Yarrowia lipolytica: one gene and its partner. The protein of the gene in region 2 purifies or fractionates together with the protein of the main gene of each other region. This does not show direct contact. Links are inferred from orthologs where the notes say so. Each region holds a gene or a part of one and is shown on either strand. Other genes may lie near its edges.

Region 1 (9,883 bases), on a different chromosome or scaffold from region 2:
ACAAGGGACATCTTGATCCTGTGATTCAGCGACCTCACAGTGTAACCATGGCTGCCCTGGCTCTCTGGGCGTTTGTGTTTGTCAACTCTGGATGTGAGGATCATGCCATGGCGTTGTACAAAGATCCCAATGTTCGGCTGACGGCCGAGAAGGGCAAGATCACCGAGTGGGGCTCAGAGATGCTCACGCGCAGCGAGGAGCGGCCCATCAACAGCTATGTGCCCAAGGAGGATGGCTACGAGTATTTGAAGCGGCTGTCGGGTCTGTCTCCTGTTGAGATCCGAACAGCCCCGAACCTGCAGAACATCATTGGTCTGTTGCAGGTGATTTGGAAGGCTATTGAAAAGGTGCAATGGGAGATTCTGCAGGAGCTGAGTCGGCTGCTTCAGCATTGTATGGAGCGAAGCCGGGGCAAGCAGCAGCAAAAGTGCGACTTTATGGTCGTTTGGAGATCCAGATAGGATAGTAATGTATAATAATAGACGATGTGGGCACCAGCGCGAGATATAGAATCGAAGCAAAAGGCTTATGGTGAAGGAGTACTTATCCACTGGAAAGTACATACAGTAGTACATTGATTGATCTACTGACGTTGTATAGATATATGCTGTTAACTGAGGGCATTTCTGTGTATACATACATACTGCAGTCCTACAGTATTGGAGCAGAGGTCTACCTCTTCCCCCTACCCCCTTCAGTTATTTGTACATATTCTATCATGGATCTGTTTCTCTATTATTTATGTTCTCCGGACGCCCATCTATGTCCTTCTCATTCAACGTCGAAATCGATCTCCGCGGAGTCTCCTGCGGCGTAGTCAAACAGGTCCTGGAGAGGCTCGAGTCTGGATTCGTTGGCAGCTCTCTGGTTGGCAATGTGGCGTTTGAGCGATGCAGAGATGAGGGTCTTTGCTCTCTGAAGCTGTTCGTTCATGTTGTGGAGCTCGCTATTGAGCTTCTGCATCCGTTGGAGCTCGTTAGTCAGTTCCTCCACCTCCTGCTCACGCATCTTGAGCTCGTTGAACAAGGTGATGACACCTGCTCGGAAGGCGAGGTCTTCGGCCGCGTCACAAATGACAGCCGAGACGGGACGGAGACGCGGATTGTCCTCGCAGGCCTCCTTGAGAGCCAGAAAGGGGTCCTGCTTGGTGGGAGGCGTGTTGGTGATCATTTGTGGGCTAGCTAGATAAGTGTTTAGTTGAGACAAAGAAGAAGCTATTTGTTTTGTTGTCATAAATATAGAGTTACTGGGACAACTATTTGACATACTCAGAGGTGCAGTACTGTAGATAACGCGAGAGAGAGAGAACCCGACAGACAGATGAGATGACGCGTATTGTACTTGTAAAACACAACCAATGAGCTATACAATAGTCTTGAGAACGACCCAGATTCACTTGGATGTAATTCTTAGATTTCCCACTCAACAGTGTTCGTCTTCCTTACCATTATCTTCTGTGAACAAAACCATCCTGTATGAACAGTTACAGTAAAACGAGTACACACACAAATCCACCCCTATGTTCCTTCCACTGTCCATTTTCATATCAATATATTTATTCCTTCTCTAATTGGCCTCAATGAGGGATGTTAATAGAATCATCATGCTAAAACCATCACCACGCCATCTTCTCAGTGTACCATATTCTCATCTCTTCGGTATTAATCCTGCTCGGCGATAGCCACCAGCCGCTCGTCAATCTCCTCCACAGTCAACTTTCTAAATCCGTCCTTTGTAGCCACACCAATCTCAATGTCATTCTTCTTGAAGTCCACAGACAGAGCAGTGGAAAGAGCGGAAATGGCGGTTTCGGTTACCTCGTTGACATCTCCAGCAGCATACTCCTTCTTCTTGAGCTTCTTTTCCAGGAAGTTGTTAGCCTCCTGCTGCTTGGGACCCGATGCAGTGGCCTTGTATCCCACGTAGTAGCCGGCAGGGTCGCACTTGTACAGCTCAGGTCCCCGCTCGTCGTCAATGGCAATCAGCGTCATGATCACGCCCAGCGGTCGCATGTATGCTCTCTGAGTGTACACCTGGTTGATGTTGGCCATTCGCTTGGCCAGCATATCGCAGGGCATGTCGTATCCGTACTTATATCGGAACTCTGCGGCCTCTCCTCGGGCTCGTTGGACAGCTGCACGAGCGTCGGGAATCTGGCCAGTCAGCACTGCTCCGATGCTAGGAGAGATTCGGAAAATGTACGACACGGTGGAAGGGTCCAACAGCTTGTCGGAGATTTTCTTTTGCGAAACGACAACCGCGCAGTCCTTGCCTCGGATGCCCAGCGACGTGATGTTGGCAGAGTTGCATGCTTTGAAGGCGTACTCGACCTGGTACAGTCGGCCCTCAGGCGAAAAGATGGTAATGTGGCGATCGAATCCAGCAGAGCCTGTGTTAGCGATATCCGAATAGTCGGCGGCGCAATCGAGTCGCGTGATCCGTCTTGTCCCCATTGGCGACCGATCCATCGCTCAATACTTACCTGACATTTTCCTGTTGTGTGGTTCTGGGTGGCAATGAAGAGTACTGTAACCACCGTGAGCATGATGTATGTGGCGATGCGGGAGAGTAGGGTTAGGGTTAGGAGGGAACCACCCTGAGAGCGATAGTTGGGGTTTAGTTGGGAGTTCAGTTGAATGTGGAGGAGAGGTGAGTTGGTGGTGTTTGGAGGGTTACGGAGCTCAAAAAAAGTCGATTGGGGAGGTCTGAGTGGATGATACTATTATTCATATAGACTGAGACTCCTGTGAGGGTATTTGGTGCCTTACTTTGAGTGTTATGTTGAGCTGACCTCGGTTAAACAGGTAAACTAATCTCAAACTTGAGGTTCTGAAAACGGAAATTTATAAGGGACGTTTCCATCGTGTTGGAGGTGTTTGATCAAGCTAGTGATTTTTCCAGTCGTTCAAATGTAGCTTTAATAATGGTTTTCCGGAATTTTTATATTTCTGACGTCTCTATACCCTCCGTTATATTGACTCTTTTGAGACTACTGTATGTACAGTATGTACTTGTAGATGTTAGCTGTGTATAGTGGTAAGGAGGTAGAGACATGGCAGTGGGTATTGGGTCAGGTGCTACATGATGAGAGAAAATTACTTGCTCAATAAAGTAAGCCATGGTCAGATAATGGCCAACATTAGAGAAAAAGATATGCTCACAAGCCATTTTTCCCGACTTTTCGCCACCTTTTCTATCTGTCCTAGAATTTCACCCTACCAATAAAGTTTCTTATATGCACAATTAATTCACCTCCATCACCCATCTCCAGTGCACTAAACAATATACGACAGAAAAAAAAAAGCACATAATACGGGATTTATCGGCAGAGACGCGGCACAAGTGACACCAAAATCAACGCGACACCGTCACAAACACAACACATAGCATCACATCACATTCCACTTCTCTACAGTCATGTCAGAACCAACCATCGTGTTTGACTCCAAGACGGTGGAAAACACGCCTCTCTACGAGTCGTTTCTGACGACACAAAAACGCCGCGTGTCGTACCATTTCAACGAGGAGGCTGCGCGATACCATTATGGAGTCCGTCACCCCATGAAACCGTTTCGACTCATGCTGACAGACCATCTGGTGCTGGGATACAAGCTACACAACAAACTGGACTTGTACAGATCCCGAAGAGCCACAGAAACAGAGGTGCGGGAGTTCCACGCCGAAGAGTACATTGATTTCTTGCAACGTGTCACTCCGGATAACATCAAAAAGTTCCAGCGAGTTTTACCCAAGTTTAACATTGGAGACGATTGTCCCATTTTCGACGGCATGTACGACTACTCGATCATTTACGCAGGTAGCAGTTTGGACGCGAGTCGAAAGCTTCTTGCTGGCCAGTCAGATATCGCCATCAACTGGTCTGGAGGTCTGCATCATGCGAAAAAGTTTGAAGCCAGTGGATTCTGTTATGTGAACGACATTGTGTTGGCGATTCTGAACCTTCTCAGAATGTATCCACGTGTTCTTTACATTGATATCGACATTCACCACGGAGACGGAGTGCAGGAGGCGTTCTATTCGACCGACCGAGTCATGACTCTGTCGTTCCACAAGTATAACGGAGAGTTCTTCCCTGGTACGGGAAACTTTGACGAGATTGGAACTAGTCTGGGCAAGAACTACTCACTCAACGTGCCGCTACGAGACGGAATCGACGACGAGTCGTACGTGCGGCTGTTCAAGAGTGTTTTAGAGCCTGTTCTCAACAGTTACAGACCCTCGGCTATTGTGCTTCAATGTGGAGCTGATTCGCTTGGTGGAGATCGTTTGGGATGTTTCAATCTCAACATCAAGGCCCATGGAGAGTGCGTTGCATATACAAAGTCGTTTGGCCTGCCTCTGATTGTGCTTGGAGGAGGAGGATACACCCCTCGCAACGTGTCTCGATTGTGGTGTTATGAGACCAGTGTGTGTCTGGACGTTGATCTGGAGACTCGGTTGCCTTCTTCCATGCCTTTTCTCAAGTATTTTGCTCCAGATTACTCGTTGCATCCCAACCTGGCTGGTAAGATCGACAACAAGAACTCCCGCAAGTTTCTGGATTCTGTGCATGTGCAGGTGATGGAACAGCTGAGAACTTTGCAGGGAGCCCCCAGTGTTCAGATGGCTGAAATTCCGCCGGACCTGGCCGGTCTGACTGAGGAGGGAGAAAAGCAGCGACGAGATGAGCTTGACGAGGCGATGAAGGATGCGAGGTAGTCGGGCATGGAGCACATTATATTTATTGTAAATAGGCAGGGAGTCGAAAGGCTCGTAATCAACTAATGATGATATTGGGGGCACAGAAACGACTTCAAGTACCACTATCGATAGTTGACGCATTTACTTGAGACGGACGACGGATACTCGTACAAAACTGGACATTGTTCAACACACCAGATATGATCGTTTGTCTCCTTAGAGGTATGCTTACGCGCTACACTTAGACTTGCAGGGTTATGCTTATTGGAGGCTCAAAAATGGGCTGATGAAAAGTATTGCAACTGTATCTGGATGTATGTTGCATTATCGACCGTGGCATTTGCCAGAATGGGAGTGAGACGGGAGCACGGGCTTTTTCGGACGTGTGACGGCGTGCGTTGTTTCAGATTTATTTGATAAGATCGGCGTGAGAATTTTGCGCTGCTGAGTATGGTGGTATTCGGCCGGCTCGTGGATTAGGAGAGGGCCACCAGGTGCTAGTGTGTTGGATAGTGGTCTGTTTTCTATGTACATACAGTTCAATTGAGTGATTTCTTTTTCAGTCTTGTTGAGCTGCTACTTTACTCGTATCGTACTTGTAGCATCACCAGTCGTTTTGGATGAGCGATTAAGTTGATCTGATAACTGCGAGCTGTGCTTGAGTTGCCTGAATGGACAAGATTTCCAAGTGCATTAATTGGTTTGTGGACGAATGGCAATCTTGATAATCGCCCTGCGAGGAGACTTGATTCGCAGAGACGGCGACAGTGAGACATCTCAGACATGACTCTTTGCTTTCTGACGGTGACGGTGGCTCCAGTAGCTACTTGTAGCTAGTTACGGTATCGATCTAGACTCAATTGGCTCACTGACACAAGTATGGCAGTCCACCACATTCCGGCCCATTAATACGACATAAACGCCTGCCTACAAACACTCTGGACCACCTTTCAATTAGTCACCCATCTTCTCAGCCGCTTGTCATTTTCCGATGACGCACTTTTGGCATCGTTTGGCCGCACGCACTGTACGTACAGTACAGTAAATTACAGTATAACCGAGTCTGGAGGTGTGAAGATCTCGGCTTTGGCGGGTTGGAGATGGGTATGAAAAATGGTTGATCCATCGATAGCCGCAGATTGCACCAGTATCTGTATAAAAATACCTCTGAAAACGGTTCTTTTGCAGACGTTAGTTGGTCCAGTGATGCTCCAGTCCATCTTCGGGTCTAGACCGCCGACCTCGGTAAACGCTAGAGTTTCTGCCACTGTGGCTAGGGTTACCTTGAGGTGGCGCGGAAGCACGGAACTGTTCGGAGCGGCGAAGTTTATGAGGGAGATTTGTGAGAAATGGGGGTGACGATATCTCTGGTATCAGCTCGAAAGTAGCGGTTGATGGGTTGGAAAGAGGGTGAATATACGGGCAGAATTCGCACGAGTCCATTGCAACATTTTGCGTCGTCTCATTGCATCCGTCATCGTCACGGCATGCAATAAAAACATGGAATCAGGGGCACGCAGGGAAAAAAAAAAAAAAAAAAAAAAACCAAACAAACACTGAAAAACACTGAAAAACACTGAAAAGTGTGAAAACTGGGAGAAAAAAATACACTGAAGAGCTGCAAAGAGCTGCAAACAACTGCACAAATGCTACAAGTAGTGGATGGAGCGTTGAAGAGAATCTGTTGCCATGTACAATGACGACCGGGGCCCCTTATCCGGTCATCCCTCGTGGAACATTGCTAAACAGCAATATACCTTGGGCCTGATTGTCACACCTTTCTCGGGTTTGGCTTACGTTACTGGCAACTGGCTCTCATCCAGGTCCTCATCACATGCTTGTGGGGTTAGAGTTGTGGGGAGGGCGGTTGAGTAGCAGAGTTTGGAGGTGGAACGTGGCCAATGAGAAAGCTTACAATGTGAGTAATAATAGGGAATAAGCAGCAGCATCGGCAACAGCGTAGATGTGAGCTATCTGTAAGCCGTGCCAGGCTAGAGGTGCTACAAGTAGTGGGAGGTAGTCTGGTGTTTCTCGAGATACTGTCGTTCAAGTATCTGTTACAATGGCTCTCTCTATCTCGTCACGTGAACACCATATATACATGCCCTCTCGTGGTCCAGCAGCGATGACACTACCCGGTCGTCTGTTCGTTTGCGCGGTTGCCACGAGGAAGGGCCAAATAACCTCAATTACTAACAATGCACGTCATTGGTGACTTTTTTAGTTGGGACAATGATGGTGACGGAGCAGAGTGTGGAAATCACAAAAATAAGGTTTCGCAGCAGCACAGAAAAAGGGCCCAAATTTTACCTCACCCTCCTTCTCATCACCCAACCCAAACGTCCCAGACGACCCCAGACCAGTCTCGACAACCATGGAATCTCTCGTTCGACAGTCCAAAAAGCTCTGCCCCTACATTGGTCGAACCTCGGCTTCCAGCCTCAAGCAGCTCGGAAACGGGCGACTGACCCAGAAGGCAGGCCAATGCCCCATCATGGGCAAGGCCATGGGAGTGCGTGGCTTCAAGTCCGACGCCGGATCCAACGCCGAGTCCGCCACCGTTGACGTCCATGCCGCCGTGGACACCTCCAAGGGCACCTGCCCCCACGCGGCCCAGTACTCGCCCGTCTACCCTTCGTCTCGGCTCGACAACTACCCGTTCGGAATGACCCAGCGAGGCCTCGGAAAGGTGCCCACCCAGGACGCCCACAATGCCACCACCTTCAACTACGAGTCCTTCTACGAGAACAAAATCAACGCCAAGCACCAGGACAAGTCATACCGGTACTTCAACAACATCAACCGACTGGCCGCCGAGTTCCCCCGAGCCCACAGAGGCTCCATTGAGGAGGACAAGGTGACCGTCTGGTGCGCAAACGACTACCTCGGCATGGGCCGAAACCCCGTCGTCGTCGACGCCATGCACGAGACTCTGGACAAGTACGGAGCCGGCGCTGGTGGAACCCGGAACATTGCTGGCCACAACCGACATGCCGTCGAGCTCGAGGCCGCTATCGCCGACCTCCACAAGAAGGAGGCTGCTCTGGTCTTCTCCTCGTGCTACGTCGCCAACGACTCCACCCTGTCGTTGCTCGGCCAGGCTCTCCCCAACTGCGTCTACTTCTCCGACGCTTCTAACCACGCCTCCATGATCCACGGAATCCGACACGGAGGGTCCGAGAAGGTTGTGTGGAAGCACAACGACCTCGCTGATCTGGAAGCCAAGCTCGCTCGATACCCCAAGAGCACTCCCAAGGTGATTGCATTTGAGTCCGTCTACTCCATGTGTGGTTCCATTGGCCCTATTGAGGAGATTTGTGACCTGGCCGACAAGTACGGCGCCATCACGTTCCTCGACGAGGTCCACGCCGTTGGTATGTACGGCCCCACCGGTGCCGGTGTTGCCGAGCACCTCGACTTTGAGCACTACCACTCTGGTGCTCAGACCCAGCGACAGCCCATCATGGACCGAGTGGATATCTTCACCGGAACCCTCGGAAAGGCTTACGGATGTGTTGGTGGCTACATTGCTGGCTCTGCCAAGTTTGTTGACATGGTTCGATCTTATGCTCCCGGTTTCATCTTCACCACCACTCTTCCCCCTGCCACCATGGCCGGTGCTCGAGCTGCTATCAACTACCAGAAGGCTACCATGAAGGACCGAGTTGCCCAGCAGACTCACACTCGATACGTCAAGGACAAGCTGGCCAACCGAGGAATTCCCGTTGTTCCTAACCCCTCTCACATCGTGCCTGTTCTTGTTGGTGACGCCCAGAAGGCAAAGGCCGCCTCCGATCTTCTGCTGACCAAGCACCAGATCTATGTGCAGGCTATCAACTTCCCCACTGTTCCTATTGGCCAGGAGCGACTGCGTGTGACCCCCACCCCCGGTCACCATGAGGGACTCTGTGACGAGCTGGTTGCTGCCCTGGAAGACGTGTGGCAGGAGCTTGATCTTAAGCGAGTTGAGGACTGGACTGCCGAGGGCGGTCTGTGTGGCGTTGGCGAGGGTGTTGAGGTTGAGCCTCTGTGGAGCGAGGAGCAGCTGTCTTACGGACGAGACTAAGTCTGTGCTCGCTTCATGAACAATGAGAGTGTGTGCTTTGACTAGTTTCGCACTCTCACTTTACTTCACACACCCAAAGTGCACTTCAAATTAGTGCGGTGCACTCGAACTCCCCACAAAATCAACTCTTCAAAAACAAAACATGTAATTGTAAAGCATTTGGCTGGACGCCAGTGGTTTAGAACCAAACGAGCGTAGATGGTGGAGCGACGAACTTGTAGGGCATGCTGCGACGTGAGTCGTTCCTGACACGTGAGCCGTTCCTGAGTGAGTCGTCCCTGAGTCGTGCGTGTGTGAAGCTTTTTGAATATCCGGCATCAGCCTGAACTCAGTGAGTCGAAAAAGACGGCAAAAAGACAGCGGGGGCTTGACAGCGTGAGTAAAGTACCAGTACAGTAGGATGTGGCTGGTGAATGATGCACTCGTGCTATACAGGTATGAGTACAGCTGTGTGTGTTCACTGGTGCTTTCCAAGTGAGTCTTCTTCTGGACTCGTCCACCGAGTTTCACCTGATCGTGTCGCGATGGAGTATGAGTCGCGATGTGTATGAGTCGCGATGTGTATGAGTCGCGATGTGTATGAGTCGCGTTGAGTAGTCTGGAACTAATATCTGAAACTGGTTTGGGACATGTCTTGGAAGTTTGGCTGGGTGGAGGATGGCTGAGTGTATTGAGAGTGGCTGAGACGTCGTGTTCGTAGTGAGATTGAGATGGCATGGTGTCTTCTTCACCAACGGCGTATTCGTTCCGATACCCTGGTTGGGGCCTGCTGAGTTGGTAGTAACTCTTGGCAAGTGTTATTATTGTGTAACAGTTGGACAATCATTACTGAGTGGCACTTTTGTAATCCCAGAGCAATAGTAGCGGGTCGCGGGGTCGTTGAGCGTCTCTCTGTTCATCCTTTGGGTATCGCTGGCTATCACTTTGAATGAGATTGGTATCAGTGGTGCTCATACTTGACCTGACAAACGAATATTCTTTGGCAAATCGATTAGTACCATAATTGGCACGCCCAAGTGTTCAGGAGTGTATCTCTCTTGTCCTTGTGTCTGGGGTTCACTTATCGTCGCTTCTCTTCTGAGCTCGCGTCGTGCCTCTACTGTGCTGCACTCGTTT
Region 2 (11,809 bases):
ATCATGTCTTATTTAGATGTGTGCCCGCTGCTGACGAACGACCACGGGCTTTCTAGAGGTTGTTGACATACTTCAAGTCCTCATTGTACTTGACATCCTCTTCGTCAAGTTTACCCTCAACCCTCTTGGCAGCCTTCTTGACCTGCTCAGTCTCCTCGGGGGTGAAAGGGAAACCCTTCTGGTTGAGCAGCACCAGCACGTGCAGAGATCGTTCCAGCGAGGGAATGTGGTCGTCGGTCTCGAGCTCCTTGACGAGGATATCGAACACCTGTCTCTTCTCCTCGGGCTTCATGAGGTCGGTCTCGGACTCCAGAATGCCTGTGAGAACTCCAAGGGTCTTGGACTTGACCTGGGCGGTCGCGTCGGGCTTGAGGTGGCCCACGACCTTCTTCAGACCGTCAGCAGACTCAAACAGCTTGTATGCGTCGTCGCAGTTTCGGATGGCAGACGCCAGAGCAAACAGCGACTTGACCACTACCTCGGGGTCGTCGTGGCTAGTCAGGTCGACCAGCTTCTTGATTCCGGCATCGCCTTGTTCAACAAGAGCCTCCTGCGATTTGGGGTTGTTCTGGGTCGCAGTAGCAACCACCCAGGCAGCCAGCTTCTGCAGAGAAGGGTGAGGAGAGCTCAATTGCGCCAGCAGAGGCTCCCACAGCTTTAGGTTCTTCATCATGTTGGCATTATCGAGGTTCTCCACCAGCATCTCAAAGTTGTCAAACGCCACCTCCTTGTCTTCCAGCTTGTTATCGGGCTGGGTGATGACCACCATGGCCTGCACCATGAGCTGGGCATCGTCGGGCGCCCCAAACAGCTGCGCCAGCAGCTTGGGGTCTGGTGGAGGCTCGTTGGTGCCCTCCTGTTGCTGCTTAACCGACCATGCTAGTAATTTGTCCATTTTTTGTCGTGTTGAGTATTTTCGTAACTTGTTGCGTTCCGGATCAAGATATTTTTCCTCTTCCTGCAGCTTTACTTATATCAGACATTGTCATAAAGTTAAAGGCACGAGGCGCCCCCAGAACCTTCCAGAAATGAATACAGGCCGGCGAGAAACAAATTCGTCATTAAATGAATAAAAAGGGAAGAAATACGATCAATTCACGTGAGAGAAATAGACATTTTTAGTCCACTGTGTAAAAAAAGACAAAAAAAAAACAGCAACCAAACTCAAGGTGATACCGTGTGCAATAGGTCCAACACAGTACTTTTACAGCACGCCTCGATCTTGTGCATCATCAAACATCAGGCATCAGATTACTGAGACGTCTGACATGTACCAATGTGTAAGGCAGAAGGCGTTAAACTAGTGCCCAATAGAGACAGTTATTGAAGTCTAGTGACCCGCTTCTCGACCAGATCTACTTTTAGCAAAATTGCAACATCTCTCGAGGTCGTTTGCTTAGTAAGAGTCTCATACACCGTTTCCAAGAAACACCATCACAATACCTATAGAACATCCGAAGGGTCCATTTTGAAGCTGAAGCCGTGGAGAGACTGGCTGTGGCATTTGATTTGTCAACAGGCCCTTGATACGGTCCCCAGACTTGCGCTGATCCTCCTTCCTCCTTGTCCCATCTCCATCCCCATCTTCGTTAATAAAAAATACAGTACTTACATGCCTATGCCTTGCTAGCTCGAGCTGGGCTCAAGACGTAATCCAGCAAGTAGTCCAGATTCAAACCCACCTCGCTCAATTGCGCAGCCTGCTGTCTAGTAATAGAGACACACTGTTGATACGTTTGAGTGTCGGGCTTCACTCCATACAGCTGTCGAGCAAACAGCAGCACAAATTCCTCCACCATGCTCTTGGCCCACTCGGCAATACTGGACGCCAAATGGTTGTCTGTGTAGCACTTTCGGAACACCTCGGCTGTGGATCGGATCAACCGGAAATACGTGACTGCCACCTGAGCAATATATCCAGGAATGTCGCCCAGCAACTCAACCTGACGAGTTCGCTTGTGAATGAGGTTTCTTCGAGTTTCCAGGTAGACTCCCCGGGCCTGGTCTCCGTGTCCTAAACGCACCAGCAGACCCAGAGCGTGTGTGACGGCAGTGTTGGATGTGTCTGTAGCCACATCATCAATGAGATGAGCCACCAACTCGTCCTGACGCTGATGCAGTTTGATGTCGAGCACCTGCTGTGTAATGTCGGTGCTCTCCTTGTCGTCCTTGATGTTTTCCAAAATGATGTCGGTGGCTTCGGCAAACCGCCTGTGTGCGATTTTCACGTCCAGATCGTTGACCAGGTCGTCAATCTCTCGCAGATTTTTCGTTCGGCCGGTGATGTCGACCGATGAAGACCTCGAGTGGCCCTTGGAGTTGCTGAGCCCCTGTAACAGCTCTTTGTGACCCCGAAGAGACGGGTTTCGAGCAGCATAGTACGTCATACTTTCTCTGAGCCGAATTTGCTGCTGGGTCTTGTTGGTGTCGTTCTTTCTGCCTTCGCCAGCCACCTTTTTGAAAGCCGAAACAACCTTGGCGTGCTGGGCGGGCTTTTCCGTCTGGTAGACGCAGGTGACTCCTCCGCAGACGACAGAAACTGCATTGGGGACCACGGGATGGGTTCCTCGGCGAGAAACGGAGAGATCCAGAAACTCAATGTCGCTGAGCGGCCAACACTGGTCCGCCACAAGAGTCTGGGTCTGCTGCATCTGCATGTTATCCTTTTTTCTGTTCTTGGCTGCAATCAGCAAATGGTCGTTCAGCAGAAACATGTGCACAGGTCGCAGGGGTTTCCAGGTGGCGGCGTTGAGCTGGTACCATGCGCCCGACTCGGCCACCACGTGTCTTCCAGGAATAGCAGGCAAGTACTTGACGGCTCCCTCTACATGTTTGAACAGCGACGCCAGTTCGTTGGCCCACATGTTTTCCAACATGACCATGGAGTTTCTGTTTCGGGCCGACGAGTCGGGCAGCGCCAGCGACGATTGCGACGATTCCTGCGACTTACTGGAGGTGGATTCCAGAGCGTCCTCCACCATGGCGGACACCGCAACGTTGAAGTTGCTGACGGCCTGGCCCAAGGACTTGACCTCGGAGTTGAGCGCCAGAATCTCTTTGTTTACGGTCAGAAACGAGTTGTAGTTTGTGTACATGGCCTCTCGCTGTTCGTCCACGAGCCTCGATTTGAGACTCTTGAGTTTCGACACGAACCGGTCGACCTCCTCAGCGTTGGAGGTGGCCAATTGCTGCGTGACAAACGTGTGCGCGTCCAGATCCTCCTTGAGCAGCATTCCTGAAGCGCCCGAGGCCACGGGGGCCGCCTTGGCCGGAGAAGTCATCGTTTTGCTTTTTGTCACCGGAACTCCTCCAGCAGCAACAGCGTCGTCAATCATGCTCCCAGCACCCACGGGCAAGCTCGGCGCCGCTGCCGCGTCATAGGGCACGCCCTGACCTGGGATACGGGCGCTGAACCGCCGCTTCACCATGTTTCCAACCCTTTCTCGGTCCTTATCGCCGACATTGGGCAGTTGGAGATGTGTGCTGTCTTGTATGTACGGCTTCTGCTTCTGGACCGCCGCGGCCATCACGTGCGGGTTGGCCGTCTGTCTGTGCGACCGTAGCGATTGGTTCGGAGGCTCCAGCGACATGGCGTGAGTCTTGTGTCGTGTACAAGTGCGGATGTTGGGTTGAGTGGAGGACGCAACTTGGACATGCGTGTTTAAGCACCTCGGAGTTATTAAACCTGGAGTGCTTAGTCAGACCCTAAGGGGTGGCTATGTGGATGACCTGAGTGTGGGAAAACAGACGGTTGGCGACGAGATCGAAATCTGCTGCAAAAAAAAAAGTGAAAACAAAAAAAAATAAAAAAAATCGTCACTCTCCACAAATAGCCCGCCCCTATGTCGTTTCATGTTTCACCGTGCACCCCGTTAAACCTTAGTTAAGAACGTTAGTTAGAGTTTTAAGTAATTGGAAGTTTTTGAAGAACGACCATTACCAGCCAGAAAGTTGATGTTGACGGTTGTGGGACATTTAGATGTCTTCTTTTCACCTGAAAAGGTTCCAAGCACCTTTTTCAACCTCTTCTAGTGACTGTAATGCCACGTATTACGACATGGTGTCACTCGACACCCTGAACTCTATACGCCGATGATCGTCGTGTATAACTCGGCCATTATTTACTTTGATGACGGCCACGAAGAGCTCAGTCGCTCCATTCCCGTCGACATAGATTTACCACAATTTTTAATTTGTCAATTCGTTTTTTTATCCATTTTACCCCGAATTTTCCCCAACCTCCTTCCCCATAAAACCCCAGCTGAAACAAGGTGAAACATGTCATTTGGATAGCTCGTGCTGTGATGGAGCTATGATCTTCGGACCAAGTTCAATCGATACCAAATGACGCAAATACTCAGTTTCTGGATCCGCAATCACCCAAAACACTCTCCATACCCAACTGAATGCTTCCTCGGAAAGACGAGTTGATCCGAGAGTATTTTCGCTACTTTGAAATAAGCTTCGCGCTCGTCTATTGTGATATTATGTGCAGAGTAATGGAAGGTGTCTTTGGCAGTGGAAGGAGAGGGTAAAATGGTAATGTTCGCATATCATTTTGTAACCATGGATCCAAGGAGCATTTGTAAACACTTTCCATGTCTTCCACTCTTCTACAGCGCATTTTACAAGTGTCGTCAAAATCCCCCCTCCCCCCCCAACCTCCCAACCTTAACGTTACAGTGCAACAAAACATCACCACTTTTAACATCACCACTTTGCCAGACCCCCCAAAACACCACTCATGTCAATCACATCGGACGAGCTAAACTACCTGGTGTGGCGGTATCTGCAGGAGGCGGGTTTCGAACATACAACATATGCGTTTCAGCGCGAGGCGGGCGTCCATCATTTGGACAAGCATTTCTCTAACCGCATTCCTCTGGGAGCGCTAGTCAATGTGGCACAGAAAGGAATCCAGTTCATGGAGGTGGAGGCCAGCGTCAAGGAGGATGGCACGATTGTGGACTCGGACGACAAGCCGTTTTCGCTGTTTGGGAACGACTACGTGCGCAGTGGGACGCCAGAGATTGAGGAGGAGCAGACTAACGCTTTGAAGGGCGCAGCCACGGCGTTGCTAGCTGCTCCGTCCGACATTACCGCAGGTGCAAATGTGGCCGTGACTAAAATCGATCCTGGATTGCCTACCACGGCTCCAACGTTAACAGCACCGGCAAACAACAACAACATAAAGAAGGTAGTGGCTGCTACCATGACAGACAGGGCAACCAATACACAAGATACACAGAATGCAACGTCGCAAAAAGACATGACGCGCGAGGAGGTGCCGATAATCTCGTTGACGCCGTCGGTGGATGTGGGTTCTGTGTCTCAATGCCAGTGGAGTCCGGTTGACAAGAATGTGTTATTAACGGGAGCGGCCGGACCAGTTGCTTCGTTACTGGTGCTCAACAAGGGAGGAGAAGAGGAGGAGGGAACGGCGGGGACTTTACTACCTACTCACGGCGACGAGATGGATGTGGATTCTGAGGATACCAACAGTACGAAAAAGATGGTCAAAATTGCGTCAACCACAAACCTCGCACATTCGCCGATTCCCCAAGGCGACAAGGATATTACTGCAGTGTCGTGGAACAGAATCGGAACGCTTTGTGTGACAGCTGCGTTTGATGGCCAACTACGATTATGGACTGCCCAAGGCAAGCTACGACACATTCTCAGTTTGCACAGAGCTCCGATTTTGTCTGTCAGATGGAATAAGACGGGCTCGTTGGTGCTGTCTATCGATTGCACAAACACGCTGGTTGTGTGGGATACCACTTCGGGCGAGGTGCGACATCATCTGAGCCTCACGGTGGCTCCTCCTCCTGCTTCGGCAGCTGTTTCGGCAGTGTCAGCGGTCGTGGGAGATATCCAAGCTGCTCTGGGGGGTAAGGACGAGAGCCACGAGTCTGCTGAGTCGATCACAACCGGGTTTGATGCTGACTGGATCGATGGATTGACATTCGTCATGACTGGAGAGAACCATTCGATTGTGGTTTGCAGGGTTGGTGAGAAGCTGCCTCTGCTAGTGTTCAAGGGCCACTCGGCAGGTATTAACGATATTCAGTTTGATCACGTGGGTTTACTTCTGGCATCGGCTTCAGATGACCACTCTGTGCGGTTATGGCAGGGTCGATCGGTCGCGTCTACAGCCACTCTTCTCGGACACACGGCCCCCGTCATGGTGGTACGATGGCTTCCGTTACTCAACGCGGCCAATCTTGTTGGAGGTGCCAACATTGGCACCATGAGTCTTGTGGTGAGTGCTTCTCTCGACGGAACGGCGCGTGTGTGGCTGCCTGAAAACGCTCGTTGCCTGGCGGTGTTGGCGCTGCATGAATCTGCTATTTTTGCCATGGAAATCTCGCCCGACCGCAAGTGGCTGGCGACAGGAGGCATGGATGGCGTGCTGGTCTTGTGGGACCTGGCAGGACTGGAGGACAATGAATGCACCGAGGAGGGCGCCGGAAGAGCTCTGGCGCGCCTGGAGATCGGGGCTCCCATTGATTGTATAGGCTGGAATCTCGAGAGTGACGTCATCTGTGTGGGAACCAGCGGCAAAAGTTATGTGGTGGAGTGGAACGAGGGCATGAGAGAAACCAAGGTGGTGGCATAGAAGGAGGGGATGGTAACGGGTTAATCAAGGGTCCCCGAAAACATAAGACACGGTATAATAATGTAAAATAGCTAACTGATGACAAGAATTGCACACAAGTGAATGTTTGAGACAGTCAAAAGTGGGGGGTTTAGTAATCAAAGTATACCAGAAATGGGATTGGTTACTAGCGGTGGTATTATTGTTCTTCAGCTGCATTTCTGTTGGGTTTTTTTCGGTTTATTGGCCAACTTTTCAAGATATCCGATTTTTTTAATTTCATTGAAAAACCTTAATTCCTCTCACAATATGGATACATATTGTACTGGTGCATTAATCTCAGTTTGAACACATTCTACAACATGAACCGGATACCTATTGAGATACAGAACGAGATTTTGAGACACTGTGATTTGTCAGCCGCTGTCAGCCTTCGAGACACGTGTATCACGTGGCGAGAACTGTGTTCTGAGTCGGTTCTGGCCAGCAAGGTGCAAAGTAGAGTGCCTTGGATGACTCCTGGAGAACATAATACGAGTCTGGACTCTTGGGCTCTTTGTGCAAAAGTTGTTTTGAGCCGTCGGAAAGCCATTGATGGCGGCAAGTATGACCATGTGGAGTTGCTGGACCGAATTCCAAACTTCAAGGCTGGCAAAGTTGAGTATTTGACAGCCGAGGAAGTGACGACTTTACCTCCAGGATACCAGTCTGTTTTCGATTCGGTTTATCTGCGGTCTGTTGCCGATGCAGAGCCGCAATTGTTGGCTCTTCGCGGCTCATCTTTGTACATCAATAACCGCCAAGCAATGTTGGATCTATATACACTGGATGTGAAGCCCACCAACGTGGATATAGCCAACGAGGGGGTTCTGGAGTTTGAAGAAACCGCCACCAATAACGTGTATGAGTGTCACGGATGCTCCATTGAGCTTCCTGAGGGGGCAGAAACTCTTCGTTTTTACTCTGGAAAGAAACAAATGGTGGTCTATTATGACATCGAATTGGAGGAGCGGGTATGTGTGATGGATAGGAAGCCCAGCATGAGCTACAAGGACGGGTTTGCGTTTGTGTTCAACGCGGAAACCATGAAGGTTCATGTTGCACGAGAGGCTGTGTTTTTGACCCAGGTTGAAGATCCCTATTTCTGCACCTATTGGCTTGATGTGGGAGCTCGAACCCGGGTTGTTGTGGCCAAGTCTGAGTTTGAGCAGCCCTACGACGAATGGACCTTGTGGTATGAAGATGTCTTCACCTACAATGGACTGTTATGGCACACTTTTGATGAGCATGTGGTTCCGTTGGTGGTGGACCTGGAACATCTGGACAAGACAGGATACAAGCCTCAGCATATTATCCAATGGTCGGATGGTGGAGAAACTCATCAGGGCAACGACGGCAGCGAAAGCTTCTTTGGAAGCAAAACCTCCACCACTCAAGCTACAGATATGGCTACTTACACAAATTATAGAGTCAAGGAGGACCGCAACTATGATATGGACGATGTCTTCTTTCCGGGGACAGTCGAGGGCCATTTTGGTTTCTGGAAATGGAGTGGAGACTATGCCGATCGAGTCATCAATGCAGCTATATCAAGTCTGAGAGAATGAATAAAACGATACAAGTTCCAGGCTACAGTCAGGGTGAACTTACACAGTGTGTAGACCCAGGGCTATAGAACGGGATGATTTTGTCTTGGGCGTGTCAGGGCGTCTTTCTGCCATCAAACACTGTGTCTTTGGAACAAAGTGGACTAAGAGAGTCATCTTAAAAAACTTTCAACGATACACGCTCCTGGATGGTATGATTCGCTGAGAGTCCCAGCTTTCACCTATGAAGCTCAGACAGTATCATGTTCTTACTTGTACCCAGGTGGAGAAACACGTCTGAGACGTACAATACTTGTACTGTATCTGAGACCTACTGAAGAATAATGGCTTAGTGAGAAGAATTTACTGCTCTGCCAAATATTCATGTGGTGTGCCCACATTTATAACCCCTTCCCCGACATCTGTCCACCCCGACGACCGAGGTAGAATTCTACTTGAAGTTGAGAGTGGGTGAGAATACCCAGGAGGTCTTTCTGAGCCCCTTGTCTGACTCCGCCACCAGCTGTCTTATGTGTTCCAAAGACAACCTGTGGTCTTTCCTGACTGACAACTGTACCGCCCCGCTCCTCGACTGGACACTGCCTGTACGCCCCACTCCTCGACAGGATACTACCCTGGCCGTCCTTTGGTCTCTTTCCTTTCATTCTGACGGGAGATATTACTTGACTATCCACTCCAGTCTCCATTCGAGAAAACTGAAGTCAGTTATGAAGCCGAGCATTTCAGCAGTGTCCATTGCTCCATTTTTGGGGAGCTACAAGTAATATTGGTGAGCCAAACTCATCTGTGCGCTCCAATGCGCCCTTCCTCTTCCCTAGTACGGGAAATTAGATGGACCGCATATTGTATACATGTGCATAATCAAGCACACTTGCACTTACAGTCAACCGCGTCTTGTACAGTATTCCTCATTGCTAATACGCAGGGTCCCATATCAGTGCATGCAAGATGCACGATAAGATGCACCTTCCAATGTCAAAAAAACATCTCTACATTATCTAGATTGGAACACAAACGCCTCCACCTGAAATTATAAAGTCATGATATGAGAACACACGCCAGTACATGCACTTTATTGACCTACTCCTACACATCGGTCTCTGTGCACACATGACGCGACTTATCACCAAACAGCTGCTGGAGCTGGAGGACCAAAAACACAAATGCCGCCAGGCCATGGTGATAATGGAGCAGCTGTTGCATGACTACCAGCTGGAGCTCAACTCTCTCCACGTGAGATCTACGGCTCTGAGAGCCAGCCTGTCCAGCACAAGAGAGAAACATCACTACTTGGCCCTCCAGACTGCTACCCGCGAGATGGCACCTCCCTACGAACAAGAGCAGCTGTCAATTGAGTTCGCAGACAAGACAGCATATGATATGTCACTCCCACATGACAATACAGCTTGTGATGGAACCCCTGCCGAGGTTGTGTCCCCCGCCCGCTCCGTCGAAAGTCTGGACACAAACAGCACCTCCCCTCCCGTCAACCCGCCAGGAACACACGTGCTGGTGTGTGGCAGAAGCGCAGCCAAACTCCGGCTCTACGGCATTGGAAAGAGAGATACAAAGATTGGTCCGATACCCATCAGGAGTGGTAACGGCGTCTCCTACCGCCTGGGGTTTCCGCCTGGTATGTTCCTTGACGTGGACTACTTTCCAGCTGGGGACCTGGAGGTGACCGACCAGAAGCTCACCGTGATATCCGGCTGTCCTCCTCTTGAAGGTCGAGTGCTCGACGAGATTGATCGTATCGACGCTGCCTTTCTGGTTCACGGAGGAGTCTACCTGTTGTTCAAAAACTGCAGCTGGGGCACCACCTACACCAAGGAAGTCCTCGACTTTCTCCCCTCGGGGATGGAGGTTGTTGATTTGAGAAATTGACTGAAACTATCGGTTCTACTACTTGGAGCAGTACAAGTGCTTGTACTCGTAGCAAATACATACGTGATTACCTATCTATTGATTAGACAAGAACGCCAGCCTGGGCGAGAGCCTTAGAGTCCTTGAGCTTGTGGAGTCGCGAAATGACCTCGTCCAGAGGAATGGAAGCGGCCTTGGCCTGCTTGCTCTGGTCGTCTCGGTCTCGGATGTTGACCGACTTGGCGGTCTTCTCCTCCTCTCCGACAATGAAGGTGAAGTTGTACTGCTTGAGCTGGGCCTCTCGGACCTTCTTCTGCAGGGTGTTGGGGCCGTTGTCGACGTCGGCAAAGAAACCGGCATCAACGAGCTCGTCACGCACCTCCTGGGCGTAGTCGTTGTACTTGGGGCCAACAGGGATGACAAGCACCTGTCGGGGCGACAGCCAGAAGGGCCACTTGCCGGCAAAATGCTCACACAGAATGGCGGTCATTCGCTCAAACGAGCCGTAGATGGCTCGGTGGATCATGACAGGTCGGGTGTACAAAGCAGCGGAGTCGGCCTCTCCCTCGCCCATGGCAGCCGAGTTCTTGAAGTTGAGGTCGAACCGGTTGGGCAGCTGGAAGTCGAGCTGGATGGTGGCGCACTGGTGCCATCGGTGGAGGGCATCGGAGATGACAATGTCAATCTTGGGGCCGTAGAAGGCACCGTCTCCGGGGTTGAGCTCCCAGTTGGCGCCCCACTTGTTGAGGGCCTCCTCGAGCTGCTTTTCGGCGTCGTTCCAGGTCTCGATCTCACCAACGTACTTGTCGGGTCGAGTGGACAGCTTCATCTTGAACTCAAAGCCAAAGATGGTGTAAATCTTCTTGAGGAAGTCGAAGATACCGGTGATCTCGGACTGGATCTGCGAGGGCATGCAGAAGATGTGGGCATCGTCCTGCTGGAACCGTCGGACTCGGGTGAGACCGGTGAGGGCACCGGAGGCCTCGTTTCGGTGGATGACACCAAAGTCGGCAACCCTCCATGGCAGCTCCTTGTAGGATCGGTCTCGGGCCTTGAACATGAGACAGTGGCCGGGACAGTTCATGGGCTTCAGACCAAACTTTTCCTTCTCAATCTCAAATGTGAACATATCGTCCTTGTAGTTTTGCCAGTGGCCAGAGGTCTCCCACAGCTTGGAGTTGTACATGTTGGGGGTGATGACCTCCTCGTAGCCTCGCTTTCGGTACTCCTTTCGCAGCAGGTCGGTGAGAGCAGAGTAGATTCGAGCGCCGTGAGGGAGCCAGAAACACGAGCCGGGAGACATGTCGTTGAACAGGAACAGCTCCTGCTCTCGGCCAATCTTTCGGTGGTCTCGCTTGGCAGCTTCCTCCAGGAACTTGAGGTGCTCGGTCATGAGCTTCTTGTCGGGGAACGAGATACCAAAGATTCGCTGCAGGGAGTCGTTGTCCTTGTCTCCGAGGAAGTAGGACGACGAGTTCTTGAGCAGCTTGAAGGCCTTGATCTTGCCGGTGTGGGGAATATGGGGGCCAACACACAAATCAATCAGAGGACCGCATCGGTAGACGGTGGTGGAGGTTCCGTCGGGGATCTTCTTCTGGATTAGCTCAACCTTGTACTTGTTGTAAGCAAACATCTTGAGGAGGTTTTCCTTGGAGAGCACCAGACGCTCAAACTTCTGCTTGTCCTTGATGGCGGACTTGGCCACGGTCTCCAGAGGATCGTAGTCACAGGCCTGGACGTG

Evidence for each region. Proteins that work in one complex are often made in the same cells at the same time.
Region 1: the proteins of YALI1_F14805g (region 2) and YALI1_C07780g purify together in Saccharomyces cerevisiae (affinity purification with mass spectrometry; 4 studies listed by BioGRID). This does not show direct contact. The link is inferred for Yarrowia lipolytica from reciprocal best matches to the Saccharomyces cerevisiae genes SIF2 and HOS2.

What each region holds. Positions count from the first base shown.
Region 1 is NC_090772.1:774,605-784,487, forward strand, and holds YALI1_C07780g (uncharacterized protein), read left to right. Parts: upstream 1-3,417; coding exon 3,418-4,719; downstream 4,720-9,883. Other genes in the region: YALI1_C07721g (uncharacterized protein), read left to right, coding at 1-461; YALI1_C07758g (uncharacterized protein), read right to left, coding at 772-1,266; YALI1_C07770g (uncharacterized protein), read right to left, coding at 1,662-2,468; YALI1_C07816g (uncharacterized protein), read left to right, coding at 7,076-8,767; YALI1_C07840g (uncharacterized protein), read right to left, coding at 8,897-9,484.
Region 2 is NC_090775.1:1,475,762-1,487,570, forward strand, and holds YALI1_F14805g (uncharacterized protein), read left to right. Parts: upstream 1-4,744; coding exon 4,745-6,619; downstream 6,620-11,809. Other genes in the region: YALI1_F14766g (uncharacterized protein), read right to left, coding at 53-895; YALI1_F14793g (uncharacterized protein), read right to left, coding at 1,617-3,590; YALI1_F14827g (uncharacterized protein), read left to right, coding at 6,961-8,205; YALI1_F14850g (uncharacterized protein), read left to right, coding at 9,271-10,089; YALI1_F14882g (uncharacterized protein), read right to left, coding at 10,172-11,809. UniProt on the Saccharomyces cerevisiae protein: Antagonizes telomeric silencing in yeast. May recruit SIR4 to non-telomeric sites or repression.